Linked DNA regions of Cricetulus griseus. The protein of the gene in region 1 interacts with the protein of each later gene in a pairwise test. Links are inferred from orthologs where the notes say so. Each region holds a gene or a part of one and is shown in the gene's direction. Other genes may lie near its edges.

Region 1 (9,929 bases):
GAGGCTTGGAAGATGGCTCAGTGGTTAAGAGCCTTTGTTTTTACAGAGAACTTGGGTTCAATTCCCAGCACCCACATGGTGGCTCACAATCATCTATAATTCTAGTTCCAAAGGATACCACACCCTCTGTAGGCCACAGGCACACATATGATGCACATACATCCATGCAGGAAAAACACACACACACACATAAAACAATAAATCTTTTTTAAAATAATAAAGAAAAGAAAAGAAATAAATTCTAGTGTTCTACAGCAGAGCTGCCAAAGCAGAGCACTAGTCCACAGTGACCTAGCAGGCATCCCATGGGTGGTGGTAGCAGACATAAGAGGCTGCAAACACAAGTATTAAGAAGGAAACATTAAATACACTGATTTGATCAATGCATACTGCATTTGTCTATATGGTATAATACAACTATGTCCTTGTGGGTGTGATTCATCCATCCTGATGACTAGCTATTCAGCACCTCCTCACAAACTTAGAGATTGGACGTCTTCTTTGGAAAAACATCTGTTTGGGGTGAAAAGTTGTTTATCTTAAAAAGTTATGTGGACCAGGCCATGATAGTGTACACCTTTAATCCCAGCACTCAGGTAGGCAGATAGGTGGATTTCTGTGAGTTCAAGGCATGCTATGTCTAGAGAGTGAGTTCCAGGACAGCTAGAGCTATATAGAGAAACCCTGTCTCAAAAACAAAAACAAAACTGGGGGGCTTTTTACTATTGAGCTGTAGAAATTCCTTATGCCTTAGAGATACAAACTATTTCTCAGATATATGTTTTGCACGTGTTTTCCTCTGGTTCTATAGACTGCCTTATCTGCGTTTTTTCCCTTGCCCGAACAGTATTTTTGTCTGAGGTAGTGTGGCTTGTCTGATTTTGCTCTTCATGCGGTACCTAGTTGTTTTCTGTAAGCCCTGTCTCCTACTTGGGTTGCTGTGCAGAACTCCCCAAATCAGAGTGAGTAGTAGTGGATATTAGGTATCACTGCCTTTTATCTTGCATTTCCCAGGAACCCCTGGGTATTTTCTAACATTGTACTGGCTTTGAGGCTGAAATATTTAAATTTCATTACATTAAGAAGTCAACTCTAAATCAGATTTGCACTACCACCCACGGAGAAGCTGAGGCAAGAGAATTGTTAGCCTGTGTTAGCCTAGGCCACCCAGCAAGACTTGGTCTTTTTTGAAAAAGTAGCTATATATAAACCCCCCATAGTATTTGGTGTTTTAACACACACACTCATTTTATGCCAAATGTGTCTTCTGCACACATGCAGGTGACTAAAAGATTGTGAGAAGAGTCCTGTTAGAACAACTGGCAAAAGATAAGTTTGCATGACTTTTTAAATGTGTTATTGCAATCTTCCGGATACTTTATTAAAAACTTTTATTTGTGTGCCATCAAATTAGATGGGCTCAGTTTGCCTTTTCTTAACTCCATTTTTTTGTGTGAGTCAGTTTAGGTTTAATGAATTCATTTTGGTCACATAAAAAGAATTATGGAGCTCCCTTCATTTGATAGTCTATATAATTGGCCAGATCACATGGGATTGTCTAATCTCACTATTCTTTAAAAGTTTCATAATTTTGATCATATCTACCCCCCACTGCCTACCTCCAACTGCCACCAAGACTCCCCGAGGGCTCTCCCTCTCATCTGCATGTCCTCTTACAGTTTTTGTCTAATAAACAATTAAGCCCAATTAGTGCTGTCCATAAACATATGGATGGAGGAGCATCCACCAGGACATGGGCACACACTATCCCTGTCAAAACTCCTCAGCTAAGGGTAGCACTTCAGAGTCAGTCCCCCCAAAATGCTGGAAATTGTAGTGGTTTGATCTGTACAGGTCATCTCAGCTTTTGTAGCTACCATTTTGTAGTTCTCTTAGCCATCATCCAGCTCTTACATTCTTCATGTCCACTCTCCTCCAATGTTCCCAAGCTTTAAGTTGTGGGGAGTTGATGTGGGTGACCCCTCTATGGCTGACCACTCAGACTCACATATTCGCAGCGTTTTGACCAGTTATGAGTCTCTGCAAAAAGATTAGCCACTACAAGAATAAGCGTGTCTGGCTGTGGCTAAGAGCACTCTCTAACCTCTATATATGCACATGCAGGCAGGCACACCCAACAAACACATGTATTCACACACACGTGTGTTTGCCCACGCACACACACACACACACACACACACACACACTGAAATCTCATGTGTGGTTCAACATGAACCAAAATGTATTAAGAAACAAGACACAAAAGAACTCCATATTATTCCATTTGTAGAATAGGCAAATGCATAAATCAGAAAGATTGTTTAATGAGGGCTGGGGGAATAGAGGAGGAAATGACTTCTCATGAGTGTCTTTTGGGGGAGACAGACATGTTTTGGGATTAGATAATGAATTTAATGTAATTTAATGAATACACCAAAAGGCATTGACTTGTTCACTTTCATGGTGAGTGAATTACATCTCAATGTTTTTAAAAAGAGAAAGAAGGAAGCCTTATAGAGACCAATGTTGAAATGGCCTGTGAATGGAACTCAGATCTCTGCACCCCTGGTGTCGGCAGCTTATTGACAACACTGAATTTGGGCAAACACAGAGGTGTCATGCACCTACTCCCGGTGCTGGTGTAATCTGAAGTATGCTTTGGAGTAATAATTTAATAAGATCTATCAACAGATAAAGCATACCCTAGGATTCAGGATTTTCAACTGCAGAGAGATCTAAGCTCTGTGTGAGGCTGGCCCAGTTAGCACTCAGTGAGTGTTCTTTCCTATTACAAAGGTGATAATCATGGGAAGAGATAATAAATTATTCACTAAAACTCCCGCAGCCAAATTCAGCTCTCACTTCTGCTATCTTTTGGAAATCTAATGAGACAGTGTTCCTGTTCTAGGATGGTGTGGCCATGAAACCTCTGCTCCTTTCATCTTTGCAAGCTGCACCAAGAGGAAAGCAAAATTCTCCCCCATCTATAGGGCCCTGTTTCTGGGGCTCCTGGGTACACATTGACAGAGTAGCTAATGATTGTGTAACCTAGCCTCTTGATAAATGGATACAGTGGGGTGGGCTTGGGTGGAATGGAGTGGGACAGAGGGTCCAGGGGAGAGGAAACAAAGCCTAAGACCCAAATCTGAGTGATTTAAGTGTAATGCCTCAGGAACATGAGCAGGGTCCACTGAAAGAAGGGAGCTCCTGAGGGACCCCACATCTCTGTCCCTTCGGTTCCTTCTTTTTAGAGTGATCGTGACACTGCCATTATTTGTAAATATTGTGCTTGGCTTGTCAAAGAGTTCTGTTGATGGAAGAGAAAAACCATGTCGGCCTGGATTTCTAATAGTCAGACCCTGGTCTTTCAGTCAATAAAGATAAATCCTGAAGTCAACTTACCCAAATATCAGGAAAAGTACCTACCTACCAAGGAAAAGCCACAGCCGAAATCTGTGTGAGAACTTGAAAGGTGACAAATGACCGCTAATGTCTCCAAGAGGTTCAGGGTGCCACCATTCCTGTGGAGTTGCTCGCATGAAAACTTCCAGTATGCACTCACATACTGGATACTGCCCCCTGGGTGTCCTCCTCTTACCTAGCATGTTAAGGCATGGTGGGAGTCAGGGATTATGACATAAGCAAATGTCCACAGGCTGAAATAGGTTAAAGCCAGCTCAGAAGCTTCCTAGGAGGGACATCACCTGTGAAGGCCTCCTAAACTGGCCAACTTCCTGCCACAACTCCCAAACTGCCAGCATCACTAGAGGTGGCAAGGATCCCTCTGAGGGAGAAGTGACCTCAGGAATCTGGTAGAGGAAGTTGTCAAAACTCTAGAGGCCTAGTACCAAGGATCTTAGAGCCATGGAGTCGGCTATGTGTGTTTGTTCTCCATGCTGCACCTGGCAGAGATGCTGCCCTCGGCTATTCTCCTGTCTGTGCTGCAAGTTCATCTTCACCGCAGAGCGGAACTGTACCTGCTTCCCCTGTCCCTACAAGGATGAGCGGAACTGCCAATTCTGCCACTGCACCTGTGCGGAGAACCCCAATTGTCACTGGTGTTGCTGCTCCTGGGCCAATGACCCCAACTGTAAGTGCTGCTGCACATCCAACACCAATATGAAATGCTACTACTATGAGAGCCGCTGCTGCCACAATGCCATCATCACATTCAGAAGGGGTCGCCTTCGGACCCTCCGTATCTCGTAAGTGCTGGCCATCCATCCTGTGGTTACATTGGAAGAAACAACAACAAAAACCCTGGGGAACTCATGCTATCTGTAGGGACCCCAGAACAAGCCAGTGTTTCCTAGAGTGCACTCTACCTGGGAGAGAGAGAAAAAAAAATCAATGGTAATTTTGTAGCAGTTACGAGCAAAGTGAGCATCCACTGGTGGTATAGACCTCAAGTCCCACACCCAAACTCCATCACGGATGCGAATTCATGCTGCACCCTTTGACCCCAAACATCTCATCTTGCAAACAAGTGATAGGTGTATAACTGCTTATGTAACCATTCCTCTCCCTCATTCTGTGCCCACTGGACCCAGGAGGATATTTAACTGGGAGATGCTAAGTTGCCCAGAGCCACACAGCTAGGAAGGGGTAGAGTCATTACTTGAATCCAGAGCTAGGTCAATGGTCTCTAATTAAAAAAAAAATCCATATTACAAAATGTAGACCATGATATGCTGTATGTTCTGTAGCCTGTTATAGGATACAAAAAGAAAATACCAACTGTTCTCCATCTCCCTCCTATGAACTATAACATTTACCTGAGAAGTAAGAACTTCTAGGTACCACTTTTGACCCTAATAACCTACAGAGGTACTTGAACTGCTGGTCACCCCTTCTTTCCTATCCAAAGTCCTGACACTCAGGTTCTCAACCACTCAGTAAGGTAGCAAGCCCAACATCTAGCATACTATTCTTTCTATGTCACATGTCAGGGGACTTAGGAGCAAGAGGAGATTTCACAGAGGAGGGGTGATCACAGCTCAGTCCTTAGGAGTGGGACTGAAATTTGTGCTTTAGGCAGACGCCTTAGGCATCAGTGGCTCCCAAACTTGGAAGTGCATGAAAATCCCCTTGGGATCTTTCAAAACACTCATCATGTTTGGACTCCACTCCTCAACATACTATTTTTCACTGATATTGGGGTAAAACTTGGGCTTCAAAATTGTAAGCACTCTATCCCTATCAGGTGATTCTAATGGGAAGACTGGGGGAGTTGAGGATGGGACCTGGAGGCTTAGAAGGCAGATGCCAGAACAGGGCAGCACTCAGGATGGAGGGACTGATGCAGAGAAGCAGTGGCTGAGCACTTCAGCAAGAAGGCAAAGATGCTGGGCTTAGTGACTGCTTTGGCATAGGATCTAGGGGCCCAGAAGCCTACTTGGGGGTCTTCATTCTGTTTGAGTGTGGGCAGGGATGCGATGCAAGTGCCAGGGAGTCAGCTCTGATTCACTGGTACTTACCTTCCAACTCTGCTCTCCTGGTCTCCAAACCCCTTGCCGGCACAGCATCCTCATTTCTCCCTCACTCTGGTCTAACTTAGCCTTGCTAGCTTCATTCTTTTCCTCACTCCCTTTCTCACAATTACTGCAGCCCCTTGCACCATTAACAGGTGTCTCGTAGTCCTACTTGCTCTCCCTTCTCTCTCTCTTTCTGATCTCTTACACTCTCTCCATTTACTATATACTGATTCTGAGTCTTACATTTTTATCAAAGAAGTCCATGCAGCTACCACATGTCCAATCAACTCGTGACTCCAGGTGACCCTTCCAGGAACAAGCAGGAGGCTGGGAAGTCAAGAGAAAACAAGGCTGAAAATTGTGAGGCTGCCAGCCTGCATCTCAGCATCCAAGCCCTCAGGGCTGAGTTGGCTGTCTGGATGTCTAAGGATATACGGGGGCACTCTGTGACTCAGAGCCACCCTAGGACAATATGCTTGGGAAGCACCTTTGACTGCCAGTGCTCTGAGACACAGGTTTCTTGGCCAAGAAAGAGGAGGAGGAGACAAAGGGAAATCAGGAAGACTAGGACAGAAGAGGACACAGCCCAACACCAAGACCAGTACCTTGTTATGCACAGGGAAATGGTAGGAATAGCCACAATGTGTTCATCACAGCCAAGTCACTTACTTCCCTAACTGCTTTTACACTGACTGCAGCTTCTCAGAGCATGCACTTGAATTCCACAAGTGCAGCCTCCCGCCATTAGTAGATCTTACCACTGAATACATAAAACTGACCTCAGATATTAGACAAATAAAGACCTGTAACTCACAACAGTAGATGCGTGTGTGGGCGTTCATGGGCTTGAATACTATTTCCTCCTATTGTGGTTTCCTCCTCTACTGTGGCCATTAGCTGGTGAATAGCACAGGAGAGGGATTGCAGGGACCACATCCACACTTCCAATGGATCATCTCAGGTATACTTCATAAACTCCCAAGGAAGTGCTGTCATCTTTGATTTCCAGTTGGGGAACTGAGGATAAAAGAGATTCAGAAACTCCCTAAACCAGCAACTCTAAAACTTCCATACTCTGTCACATGTCCGTTTCCCAGAGGCAGACCCTTGTGTATTACTGATGGTCTGAAAGTCAGCTCTCGGGTTCTTGGCTCAGCTCAGAGATTGTCTTGTTTTAGTAAGGTCATTTACTACCTCCCTATGTCCCATCCCACATGCAACAGGAACGGTAATGTCACCACATGCCAGGCACAGCCACCAAAAGCATGCCTATAACTGGGCAAGATTGGATTTGTTGATTCATTGTATCAAGTGGGAACATGTTCCATTCCATGCCAGTGTGAAATACCAAGGTAAGAAGCCATCACAGGCCATCACAGGCTAGCGCTCATGTTAGTAAGAGTAGAGTCAATCTGTTGGTTCTCTTACTCTTGTCTAGAAGGCAGCTAGAACATATGGAACCCCAATCTGCTTCTGGAAAGAGAAAGAGCAGGCCTAATCACTCCCATTCCCCCTGCACAGGAGGGTAGGAGGTCTTATTGGTGATTTGGACAATGTTCTGGTCTGAGTTCCAGCATCATGCAGTGGTATCCCTTCTGCTCCGATCCATCAAAGTCACTGTGGCCCTGTCTCCTGTTGATGTATTGTGGCGGCTACTAATATGCTGTGGAACATCCAGGCCCAGCTGACCACAACAAACCCCTGCTGATGTGCTGTTTTTCTTTCCCTCACAATTAAAATTAGCACTGCAGGACTCTGGCTGAGCCCAGGGGCTGTACTCAGTCCAAACAGCCATTAAATTCAGCCTTAATCATCTTTAAAAAATGCCACACCTTGGGTACCAGCAGCAGGTCCCAAATGCCTTACTGAGTTTATTTTCTAAGATAGTGGAGGCAAGCCAAGAAGGCAGGCACCTAGCAGGAGCCATTTCATCACCATTCCAGTGGACCACCTCCCTGGATAGATCCCTCTGGAATTCTTGAGTGCGTTCCTGAAGCCTGTGTTTGCTTTTCCTTTTCAGCTCCAAGACCGCCCTTCGCATAGGGAGCAGTGAGACACAGTTGGAGGAGTTGAAGTCCATGACCCCCAGCAACAACTTGGTGAGCCATCTCACCTGCCCCATGTGCAACCGGCTGCGCCTGCACTCCTTCATGCTGCCGTGCAACCACAGCCTGTGTGAGAAGTGTCTGCGGCAGCTGCAAAAACACGCTGAGGTCACCGAGAATTTCTTTATCCTCATCTGCCCCATGTGCAACCGCTCGCACTGCATGCCCTACAGCCACCAGACGCACCTTCCAGAAAACTATCTGCGCGGGCGCCTCACCAAACGCTATATGCAGCAGCATGGCTACCTCAAGTGGCGCTTCGACCGATCCTCAGGGCCCATCCTCTGCCAGGTGTGCCGGACCCGTCGCATCGCCTACAAGCGCTGTATCACCTGCCGCCTCAACCTGTGCAACGAATGCCTCAAGGCCTTCCACTCGGATGTGGCCATGCAGGACCATGTCTTTGTGGACACCAGCGCCGAGGACCAGGACGAGAAGATTTGCATCCACCACCCGTCCAGTCGCATCAACGAGTACTGTCGCAGTGACAACCAGCTGCTCTGCGCCTTCTGCAAGATCGCTTTCCACAACGGTCATGACACGGTCAGCCTCATAGATGCCTGCTCCGAGAGGTCTGCAGCCCTCTTCAGCGCCATCGCCAAGTTCAAAGCAGGTCCTGGTCGGTTTCCCACTTCCCCTTCAGGGTAACTCTCAGCTATGGAAAAGTCCAGAAGTTGGTGTGGGGCACCTGTAAGGGAGTCTTACTCCACCTGGTGGAAAAACCCAGACACTGGGAGACCCTGACATGGCCGGAAAGTCACTGTCATAGCATCCATGACAACTACCACCAGCCATTTAGTGTCACTAAGTCACTGTGTCTTTGTGGCTCAGTGCTTTCATCTATAAAATAGTAAGGATAATGGTAGCTCCCTCATTGGGTTGTTATGAGTAGAGCTAGTCTTAGGAAGCATGTTCTCACCCCTCTTGCCACCACCCCTGGGATGGGGGGGGGCACTCTGTGTAGAATAAGCACATAAAGCTCCTCTAATCTTTGTCACAATTTCCTGAACTTGGGCTTCATTTCCCAAAGGGGGAAAATGAGTTTTCTCCAGTCACAGCCTGAAGTTCTGTTTGGTACTGAATATGAAGGTCATTTTTACCTCCCACCTTGCGGTTTCCAGCAGGAATAATTAATCTAACCCTGAGAGTCATCTCAATTGAAGGTATCTCCCGTGAACTTTCTGTCAAAGGTGTAGACAAGGAATTCAGAGAGCTGCTAATGGATACATAGTAACAGGAAAATTCCAAAACAGCCAACAATACTCTGCCCAGCCTCTATTTTCCTTCTGTCTGCATGTTCACAGTTGTTCATATCCGCTGTATAACACAATTTCTATAAAAGAACCGACCCTGGTTTTTATATCATAGCCAAGTACAATAATATTTCATAAACTTCAGTAAAGGGTTCATAATTTCTGAATGTGTCACCATCAGGTCAGACATATCTTTGACTCCAGTTAGATCTAGAAATCCACTTAGGGAAATGGCACCTTCTATAGAGGATCATATAAACCTTTGCCATTTGTTTGTTTCTGTTTTCTGAGACAGGGTTTCTCTATGTATCAGCTCTGGCTGTCTGGGAACTTTCTTTGTCCACCAGGCAATTTTCCATTGCTGTGATGAAACACCATGAGCAAAAATAACTTGGGGAGGAAAGGATTTATTTAATCATACACTTCCTCATCAAAATCTGTCATTGAAGGAAGTCATGGCAAGACCTTAAGGCAGGAACTTGGAAGCATGCATTGAAATGAAAGCCATGGAGGAATGCTGCTCATGGCTTGTTCATCCATGGCTTTCTCAACCTCCTATTTTATATCAGCCAGGGCCACCCACAGTGAGCGAGAGCCCTCCCACATCAATCAAGAAAATGCCTTGAGACTTGCCTACCAGCCAATATGATGGACTCATTTTTCTCTATTAAGATTCCTTTTTCCCAGGTGACCCCAGGTTGTGTCAAGCTGACATAAAATTAGACAGGATACTTTTGGAGAATACCATGTCTAGTTTCAATAATCATACAGTGCAGATGCTAAAATCTCCTCCATGGATAAGACAACTGTGCTTAAAGTGGTCAGCACAAGGCAGCTAGTGAGCTGCACACCCACCCAGTCTCCAACACCAGTGCTAAACAGTGACAAGACACTCTAAACATAGAATGCTGGGCAGATAGGGGGCACAGTAGCGCCACTTTACAGTCCATATCTATAAGGAGTGACCTACTGTCTATGCTGAAGAACTCTAGATCAATATTTGTTTGAAGGCAATATTCAGCAGTCATCAGAAATTTACTTCTTTCTCTGCTACAAGTAAGAGAAATATTGCAGGGGAGAGTTCCATCTGGGGGCAT
Region 2 (9,928 bases), on another chromosome or scaffold:
GATCCAGTTGTCCAAAACCTCCCATGTCTGCTCATCCCGTCTCTTCTCCAGCTCCTCTCACTCCCCCAGGAAGCGCCCTAATGCTATTTGGGGGCGCCCTTCCAGCAAGAGCATCTGCTGTGGATGTCTGCACATGCAGTAAGTCTATCCTTGAAGCCCCTGCCACCAGGGTTCTCTAAAGGCAGGCGGGGTGCACACCCAGGGCATGTGTGTGTGTACATATGCACATGTATGCACATGTATGCATATCCCTGTAGTCATGTGTGTACATGTATGTACTTGCTTGGTGGGTTCTTGGTCCTACTAGTCAAGCCTACTGCTGACACACTGGCCTACCGTTCCCATAAGAGTCCAGTCCCTGCACATACGGATAAGAACGGCCTCCAGAATCAGTACAGAATTCTACCAGGAACATGCTTCCTGGATTCACTTAAAAGGGCAAAGTTACAAAAGGCACTGGCTGACGGTCCACTCTATACTTGGCTTTGGGTCAGAGATGAGCCAGAACTCTGATCACAGAGGCTCGGCCTTTCACCGTTCCTTGCTGTACCTCACCTAGCAGAGGATAGATACCCAACCCACCCGGGGGCAGCCGGAAGGGTCAGGGTTCATAACTTCAAGGATAGATGGGGACATGTAGACAGGGATTTGTGACTTGCCCAAGGACATGCAGAACTCTGAGTAGACTCCAAGACCCCCAAGGCTGGGTCTCTAGAGGGTTAGGAGCACCTCAGTTCTTAGCTCGGGACTGAAACAAGCAGCTAAAGCGAACATGAAACCAAATCAGACTCTGCAAACCAGACACTGTGCTCTGCCAGACTCTGATGAGACTGTCTAAGGAGCAATACGATAATGACAATTAGGTCAGGTCCATTGCCAGCACTACACACACGTTACTAAAATGTGGCAGGGATGGCGAGCCCCGTTTAACACACGGGAAGTCAAGGCTGGAAGAAGATGAATAGTATGCCCAAGATTGCACCGAGAGAAGGATGCCAAGATTGTCCCCAGCCCTCCTGTTCCCAAAATCGATTCCTTGTGACACTGGCTTTCCTCAAAAGGAAGGACATAGATAGAGCTGGGTGTCCTCATTTATTTTGGGTCACCATATGCTCAAACCCTAAACTAAGATATCTTCTTAAGGAAATTTAAGGAAAAAAAAAACCGTCAGAGAGAAGCTGCTGTATGAACAAGCTGGCTGAGATTACTCGTGGGTGGGAGAGACGTGTGTGTGTGTGTGTGTGTGTGTGTGTGTGTGTGTGTGTGTGTTAAACAGCTCAGCTCTGTATCTTTTCCTGAATTCTACTTGGCCAATCCAACAGAATGGAGCCTGCTTTTTCTGAGCATTAGATACTAAAAGATTTATTGAAGCTGGCCAGACACTACCCAGCTCATCCAATCCCCTGACAGACCTGGTTCTGGAAGGTCTAATTAGAAGATGGAGGGAAAATCCAAGGAGCCTTCCAGGGACAGGTGCTAAGTAAATTCATTCGGCTCTTTGCCTTCAGAACATGCTCGGCTTGCACAGCAGCTGGAAGAACCATGACTTAGGCATTCCAAGCCCTGGGGAAGTTGTGTTTCCATTGTTTCAGCTTCCAAAGACCAAAGCTGGGTCCTTAGCCCACACTCAACTTTCACTCTATTATACAAAGCTATTTATTTGGCTTTTCAGCTTATCGCATTATTGACATTGTTGGGTTTAATTAAAGGGAGGGACACTGGGGTCACGTTGCTGTCTACACACAAGCTGCAAGTGGTAGCCCTCATCATACTCTCACAAAGCTGATGGGACCCCCCAGGGAGCTCCCCTCTCCCCGCCCCCCTTCTCCATTCTGCTTCTGTTCAGTTCTGCTCAGTTCCGGAACTGAACAGAACCCGCCCGCTAGATGATAGAGGAGGGGTGAAGAGAAGAAGGGAGGGATGGACAAAGAAAGAAGGGGAAGAAAGCAAGAGGAAGAAGAAGAAGAAGAAGAAGAAGAAGAAGAAGAAGAAGAAGAAGAAGAAGAAGAAGAGAGAGAGAGAGAGAGAGAGAGAGAGAGAGAGAGAGAGAGAGAGAGAGAGAGAGAGAGAGAGGAGCTGAGAAAGAAGACATGGAGAAGGAAGACGGTGAAGAGGTAAGCGGAAAGGACAAAGAGGCCGCCACATCCAGCCCTGGACTCTGCGGAGAGGGAGAGGGAGAGAGACCAGACTTCCTGCCTTCAGAGACTCCACACTGATGGGACAGGCACGAGTGGACCAGCAGACTGCCGTGAAGCCTGGGGCACATCCTGCTCCACGGGGCAGAGGGCATGAGAACGGTGCAGACAGGTGAGGAAGGGCACGGAAGACTTTCAGAAAAGCTGCCACGCAGACTACAGTTTGAAAGATGAATGGGGACAGTGAAAACAGAAGAGGGGGCTAAGAGAAGAATGCACATGAAAACACCTAGTATAGAACAGAGGGCCACCAGGCCCCTTTTCGGGATGCAACTGCACCATCACCAAGGCTCAGAAGCAGGGGGAGTGGCCAGCATCCACAAGCCCCGCCCTCAGCTCCAATCTCTCTCTGATCCCTTAGGCACAGGCTCTCTCTCTGCTATTACTACTTCTGCCTCTAGACCCCTGGTCCCAATGCCACGCATTGGATGTGCGTCGTGACCTTGACCACGTGAATTCTTTGAGGGCATGGCCTATAACTGAGTGAGAACACCCCTTCTACCCTGCGCTGAGCACCCCAAAAGCCAGGCCCCCCGTACAGAGACACTCACAGACATGTGCATGGATCTGTAAGTTGTCTCCTGGAGACAGTGTGGTTCTGGGAAGAGCCAGAGACCAACCTGACTCCCGCTAAGAAGAGCTCTTGACATGGACAGCCAGCAGAGCCGTGGCTCGGAGCCTGGCAGCTTCTGACTTGTCGCCTATGGCAACATGGCAGGGGTAGTGGCTGTGGAGGGGCTACAAACAAGGGCTAAGCCAGCAGGAGAGGCTGCTCCAAGAGTCTGAGCGGCGTGGGGAGAGGAAGTTAGGCTTCACTGCCACTCATGGCTAGAGCAATAGCGTACGGCAGTGAAGGGAGGGGTGGCCCGCCACCCTTCCAGCGTGCTGAAGCTCACCGCTGTGGGCCTGGCTGCCCTGCAAACCCCCCCCCCCCCCCGCCGCCCATCACCACCACCAGAACATGCTCGGCTTGCTCAGCAGCCGGAAGAACCATGACTTAGGCATTCCAAGCCCTGGGGAAGTTGTGTTTCCATTGTTTCAGCTTCCAGAGACCAAAGCTGGGTCCTTAGCCCACACCACCACCAGTCTCTTCTCCCTTCCTGGCCTCCTCCTCTTCTTCCCAGCCTCTCCCTCCGCGTTGCCTTTTCCTCCTCCTGCTCCTCTTTGATCTTTCTCCCCGGCCTCCTCACCTTCCTTTCACCTCTCTGTCTCCCTCCAACTTGTCTTCTCTTCCTCCTTTTCCCTCCCTCCCTTCCTCCTCTTTACCCTTCCTCCATACCCCCTCCTCCTCCCCTTCCTCCTCCCCTTCCTCCTCCACCTTCTCTCCCTCCTCCCTCCCTCCCCCCTCCCTCTGGCTTTCTTTCCCTTCCTTCTTTCTCCATCCCTTCCTCCTTCTCTCCTCTTCTCCTCATCCTATCCTCCTTTGTTCTCCTTCTCCCTGGACCTATGTGCCCTGCCTCCTGCTTCTAACTCACTTCTCTGTGGTGAGAGGAGACAGAGAAGGAAGCCTGAGGTCTAAGAGAGCCCAGGTGAAGAGCAGCTGCAGATGTCCAGATGGACATTACAAGCCAGAGTACACAGCTGTACCAGGAGACAGAAGGACAAACACACACACACACACACACACACACACACACACACACAGAGAGAGAGAGAGAGAGAGAGAGAGAGAGAGAGAGAGAGAGAGAGAGAAGGCTCAATTAGAGCCAGGACTTTCCCAAGTCTAAAAACTCCAGAATGCTTGACAAATTCAAAAACAGAAACAAAACAAAACACCAGCCCTTGCTCTGGATTGATTGCTTTGCCTTGGGGCCTGAAAGGGAACCACAGCCCTCACCACAGTCCTGCCAGGCAGAAGGTGGCGGACGGACCCCTACGGAATAGCACCCTGGGTTCTGTTCATTTTCTGCCTCTCCTATGACCACCTGCCACCTCTACTGTGACCCAGAGCTGTCTGTCTGCAGCGATTCCGCACAGGTCACAGCAACCTGTTTACAAACAGCTAGAGTTCCAAGGCTCTCTTAGGACAAGGGACTCGGGATGCATCCAAATGGACAGCAAAGCCTTGGTCAGAGAATCCGTCCCTCCCTTTCTATTTATGCCGATGTAAACACTCGCCAAGGAAACAAGCCATGCAGGCATGCGCAGCCCTGCAGGCCCTCGGGTGGCTGCAAAAGGCAACTGGAAAGTCACATGTCATAACACTGGAAAGTACATATGCAGCTATTCTTAGGCTTGGAATGTATACACTGTCTGCCTGCCCGGCAGCCCTTGCACCGAGCTCTAGGAGCTGTGAAAGTGCCTGCAGCATAAACAAACCCAGAACTCATCTAGGACAGAGAATTTGCCAACAGAAGGAAAGGCCTGGGGTTTATGGTTTTATTCCAAGACTAAGGTAGAAACCTTCTGAGGGGACAAGACAAACCCGGCATCCGTGGATGTCACTGCAGCAAAACAAGGTAGGTGTCCCTAACTTGTCATTCCTCAGCAGGCAGACTGTCCATGTCACCAAGGAGCCACAGAAGTGTTTGGTGTTCTCTACTAATTACATCTTTAAAACAAAACCCAGAGACCATGCGGTCTTCTCTCTAGATCTGGCCACAGCCCGCTGTAATCCCTCACTTCTGTCCAGTGACCAGAAGACCACACCCCCAGAATGTCAGCCTTAGGGAATAACTAACTCCAAGAAAGATTTGTAGACAAGTTTACTGGCAAATCTGCTAATGATCTGGACAAAGGCATACATTACTTGTCAAATGCATGGACTGCTTTTTTTGTTTGTTTGTTTATTTTTGTGCCAGGCTAATATGTGAGTCTCTGACCATCAACTTTGGTTGGAAGAGGCCTAAGATTAGCTGGAGATGCTACATGTCTTTTATCTCTGAGGCTGTTCACAGCCTGAAGTAGATCACTTTGTGGTCTGCGATGAGGGTGGTTTCCTCTTCCCTCTTCAGTGTGCTCTGTTTGTGAACCCATTGACTTGGTAAATAGATACAATGAACGAGGCTTGGAGCCCCCACAGCTAACCCCTCTAGTACACGATGCCAGAAAGCCTTGACCTTGCTTCCATTTGGGGCTTCCCTCCTTCTTTGTAGGATGGATGAGGAGCTACCAGATGGGGTTGTCTTCAAAGACGACAACTTCTCCTCTGACTTGTTGAGACAGCTCAATGACTTAAGGCAGAGCAAGACCCTGACCGATGTGAGCATCTGCTCCGGAGCCTGGGAGGTCCCTTGCCACCGCAATGTGCTGGCCTCCAGCAGCCCCTACTTCAAGGCCATGTTCTGCAGCCACTTCCGGGAGAGCACGGAGGCCAAAGTGTGGCTGAAGGGCATCAACTCCAGCACTCTAGAGCAGGTCGTCACGTATGTGTACACGGGAGAGGTGCACATCACAGCTGCCAACGTCCTCCCCCTGATGGAGGCAGCCGCCATGCTGCAGTACCCCAGGGTGTTCGAGGCCTGCTCATCATACCTGCAGAGCCAGCTGGCCCCCAACAACTGCCTGGGCCTGGTCAGACTCGCGGAAATCTTAAACTGTGAAAGCCTTAAGAAGAGAGCCAGGGAGGTGGCCCTGACTTGCTTCCCAGAGGTAGCAGCGTCGGCTGACCTGAAGGAGCTCTGTGCCATGGAGTTGAGAGACTACCTAGGAGATGACAGGCTCTGCGGCGAGGAGGAAAAGGTGTTTGAGGCCCTCATGGCTTGGGTCAAGCATGACCTCCAGGCCCGATGGCCCTACATGCAGGAACTTCTGCAGCAAGTCCGGCTGCAGTACATACATCCTGCCTTCTTTCACCATTTCATTGCCAACGACGCTGTCCTCCAGTCGTCGCCCGCGTGCCGGGCCATCCTGGAGGCGGCCAGGAAGCAGATGTTCTCTTTGTACAGCCCCAGTGCCCAGGACTGCAAACTCGTGTGGCACGAACCCCCGAGGAGCTGCTACCAAGACTGCCTCCTTGTCCTGGGGGGCCAGAAGGACAACCAGCAGACCACCAGGGATGTCTTGCTCTACAGTGTACACACTGGCCAGTGGCAGAGCCTGGCCAAACTCCCCGCGCGGTTGTACAAGGCCTCGGCTGTCACCTTGCACCGCAGCGTCTACGTGCTCGGGGGCGTGGCTGTGAGGGAGGGCAAGAGTGCCGTCAGTGCCAGCGTGTATGTCTTCTCTCTGAAACTCAACCAGTGGAGACGCGGGGAGCCCATGCTGGCAGCCCGCTACTCTCACAGAAGCGCCGCCCACCGGAATTTCATCTTCTCCATCGGGGGCACCGGAGAAGGGCAGCAGCTCCTGGGTTCCATGGAGAGGTATGACAGCGTCTGTGATGTCTGGGAGAGCATGGCTGACATGCCAGTGGCCGTGCTCCACCCTGCGGTTGCCGTGAAGGACCAAAGGCTCTATCTTTTTGGGGGTGAGGACATCATGCAGAACCCTGTGCGCCTCGTCCAGGTAACCAGCCGGTCCTTCTCTCCACGCTAGGACCAAGTGTGCTTGTGTGTGCGCACACACACATACATAAATATACATGCCTAATACAATAGCATATACACACACACATATACACATGCATATCTGCAGCCATGTAAACATTCACATACACACGTATACACATAGCACACGCATAATTATATACAGACACACTCATACAGGCACATGTATAACTGAGTGAACATATATGCACACGTGTGTGCATGCATTCAGTCAGGTGTACATTCACTCACGTGAACATGCTAACAGTATAAACACATAAATACATGTATGTGCACACATGATTATGTGACATATTCGCATACACATGTGCGTGTATAACGCCATACATATGCAGACATGAACATATCATGACCAACACATGCACACATACATATGCAAGTCTACATGCATGGGCACATGCATGCACCCATATTACGCACACGTCTGTACACATGCGTGTGTATGTGTGCACTTGTGTGTACATGCATTTGTGTGAACACGTATCATAGCACATACATGTCATAAATATGTGCATATATGCATTCTTGTGTACCGTGTACATACATGCATGCATTTGTGTGTGTACCCATACATGCACTCTTATTTATCGTGGCATACACATATCTATGCACACGTGTGAACATATACACCTATGTACATATGTATGCATGCAGACATAGAATAGAATACACACTTGTGCACATATACACCTATGTACATATGTATGCGTGCAGACACAGAATAGAATACACACTTGTGCACATATGCACGCATGCATACATGTGTATTATATATGCCACATATGATAGTATATTCATCTGAGAACAAATGCATGTATTCGTGTGTGTGTATGAGTGTATACACATGCCCAGACAGGCACACACATACACACAGGCACACACACATAGCACACACACACATAGCATGCACGCATTTGCCTTTCTCAGGCCATGAAGAGAAGCAGGAAATTTTCAGTGGTGTTTGGCTTATGGATTTTTCTTGTGAGACTAATGCAAAGTCATGTCAGGTGCACCCCATCCGCAAAGAGCTTGTCTTCACTTGAAGGGAAATAACCTAGAAGTTCATGCTGAAACATATTTAAAACAAGACAGCACAGTGCTATAGAACGCTCGTGGTGCCGTTAACCCCCACTGCAAGGCTACCCTCCTCGCATGGAATCATGACATCTGTGCTTTACAGAGGTCTCCAGGAGCCTCTAAGGCATGACTGGGGCTGGGACCATGTGCCTGAAATGACAGGAGGAATTCATTTCACTAGCACAGGCCCTGAGATGTGTGTTTGAAAAGGGCCAACTTCAGAGCGTCGAGTGTCCATGCTCCGTGCAAGCTTTAATGACTGTGCCGCACGTGGTAAGCTTCCCTTACTATTTAGGCAACACCAGGGGTGGACTCTGTCTGTCCGCTGTCAATGACCTGAGAGGAAACAGAAAATTACATCTAACCCTCCAGGAGTTTACATGACAGCTGCAATTCGGAATCTGAAGATCCAAGTGCTGAGAGCTTAAGGGGTGTCCTAGATGGGACCAGAGGGAATGGCAAAGAGCATGAAGGTCCAGAGGAATTTGGAGAAAACTCCGTGAGAGGGTGAAAGAGGAGGGAGGCGTCAGAATGGATGCTAAGATGCTAAAAACGAGCAAGCAGCGGGGGGCCTGGCTGGGAGCGAAGAGCTGACAGCTGAAGACGGCAGAACTGTCTGCAGAGGGAGAGACGGACCTGGGTCCTTTGTACAGAGGCTCAGAAGAAAAGAGGAGGCAAGCGCTCTGCCTGCGGAGCGGAGAGCGTGACAGTGACAGCGTGACGTACAGTCGCCAGCGGAGTGAGGAGGAGAGAGGCTGCTTGCCAGACGGTAGCTGGGGAGGGAGCAGGTGTCAGCCCCGTGTAGTCTCCATCATCCCCTTCTTACGCTGCCCCAGCAGCCTCCTCCACCCAGATCCTGCCTCCAAGGCGCTCCTACCAAAATTATGGAACATTCCAGAATGGCTTGTGGAGAAGAAGCTGCTGCGGCTGGGCTTTGTGTATCTTGTCAGGAAACTGGGGTGGTGACCCGAGAGCGAGGGGGCAGAGAGAGCATCAGGTTTGCGTTTCAGCGCCCTCTACCTGTGGGTCGTGACCCCTCTTGAGGGGCCGAATGACCCTTCACAGAAGGTACATATCAGGTGTCCTACATGTCTGATGTTTACATTATGATCCATTCCAGTAGCAAAATTACACTTACGTGTTAGCAGTGGAATAATTGTATGGTTGGGGGTCGCCACAACACGAAGAACTGTCTTAAAGAGTTGAAGACTCAGGAACGTTGAGAACCACTGATCTAGATGCTTCTAGAGGAGGGAATGGAGAACACCCGGGGAAGAGAGCCGGAAGATGCTCCCAGAAGCCCGGACACAGGGTGCTGATGGCTTAGACCTCCGCACCTTCTTTCTGCAGCCCTTACTCCCCGTGAGCATCAAGAAGAGCCTCACTCTTCCAGAAGCCCCACCCCCAGTCCACCCATTGACTGGAGCTGGGGGGGACTCCACTGTGATCCTCAGGAGAGACCCACCAGGGCCCCGCCCACCTCTCTCGACTGTTTGCCCAAATAGAATCAACAGCTAGGCCGGTGACTTCACGCCGCCACAAGACTGTCACCAACTTCCTGAGAATAAAATGCAAAGCTCGAATAAACTTCCAGCTAACAGATCAGGAAATGCATAGTGCAACCAAACCAAGACCCTCACAAAGCCAAACTAGCCGGACTTGTGAGTGGCCCTTTTGTGGTACAGCCAAGGAAAGCCAGGAGTGGGTGGATGTAGGCGGCTGGTCTGTGGGCCTGTAACGTTGGCCACACCCCTTTGGATGTGGTTTCAGTGGGACAGAAGCAGAAAGAGAGGAGCTTGAGCTGGCTTTCCTTGGCCCACACTTTTCTGGTGGGTCAGCGGATCCGGTAGGCAGAGCAGGGAAACTCCAATGGTTCTTTGTATTATTCTGTATAATTGTCCCCCAATAAACACCCATTTATCATTTACCTGGGGTCTAGTGACATAATTCCATCCTCGCCTTCAGGTGGAAGCGTTCACATGCATGCTTTTCTTACCGTCTAGCATTTGCTTTCAAGTGGGCATTCTACTGGCTTAAACACACTTTAAAATGAGTGCTGGGACTCACTTGATGGAGGAGGCTGAGTTTTCAGGCGGAAGCAGAGGAGTCTTCCAGACCATCCTTCAATGGTGTCACTAGACAAGGTGGACACTGATGGTCCCTTTCTAC

What was found.
Region 2: the proteins of Trim42 (region 1) and kelch-like protein 38 interact in binary tests that used the Homo sapiens proteins (3 or more experiments, as listed by UniProt). The two-hybrid records come from large-scale screens. The link is inferred for Cricetulus griseus from reciprocal best matches to the Homo sapiens genes TRIM42 and KLHL38.

What each region holds. Positions count from the first base shown.
Region 1 is NC_048597.1:205,881,570-205,891,498, reverse strand, and holds the start of Trim42 (tripartite motif-containing protein 42), read left to right. Parts: upstream 1-3,864; coding exon 3,865-4,205; intron 4,206-7,494; coding exon 7,495-8,192; intron 8,193-9,929.
Region 2 is NC_048603.1:29,294,305-29,304,232, forward strand, and holds the start of kelch-like protein 38, read left to right. Parts: upstream 1-3,877; 5' UTR 3,878-4,654; intron 4,655-5,290; 5' UTR 5,291-5,291; coding exon 5,292-6,641; intron 6,642-9,928.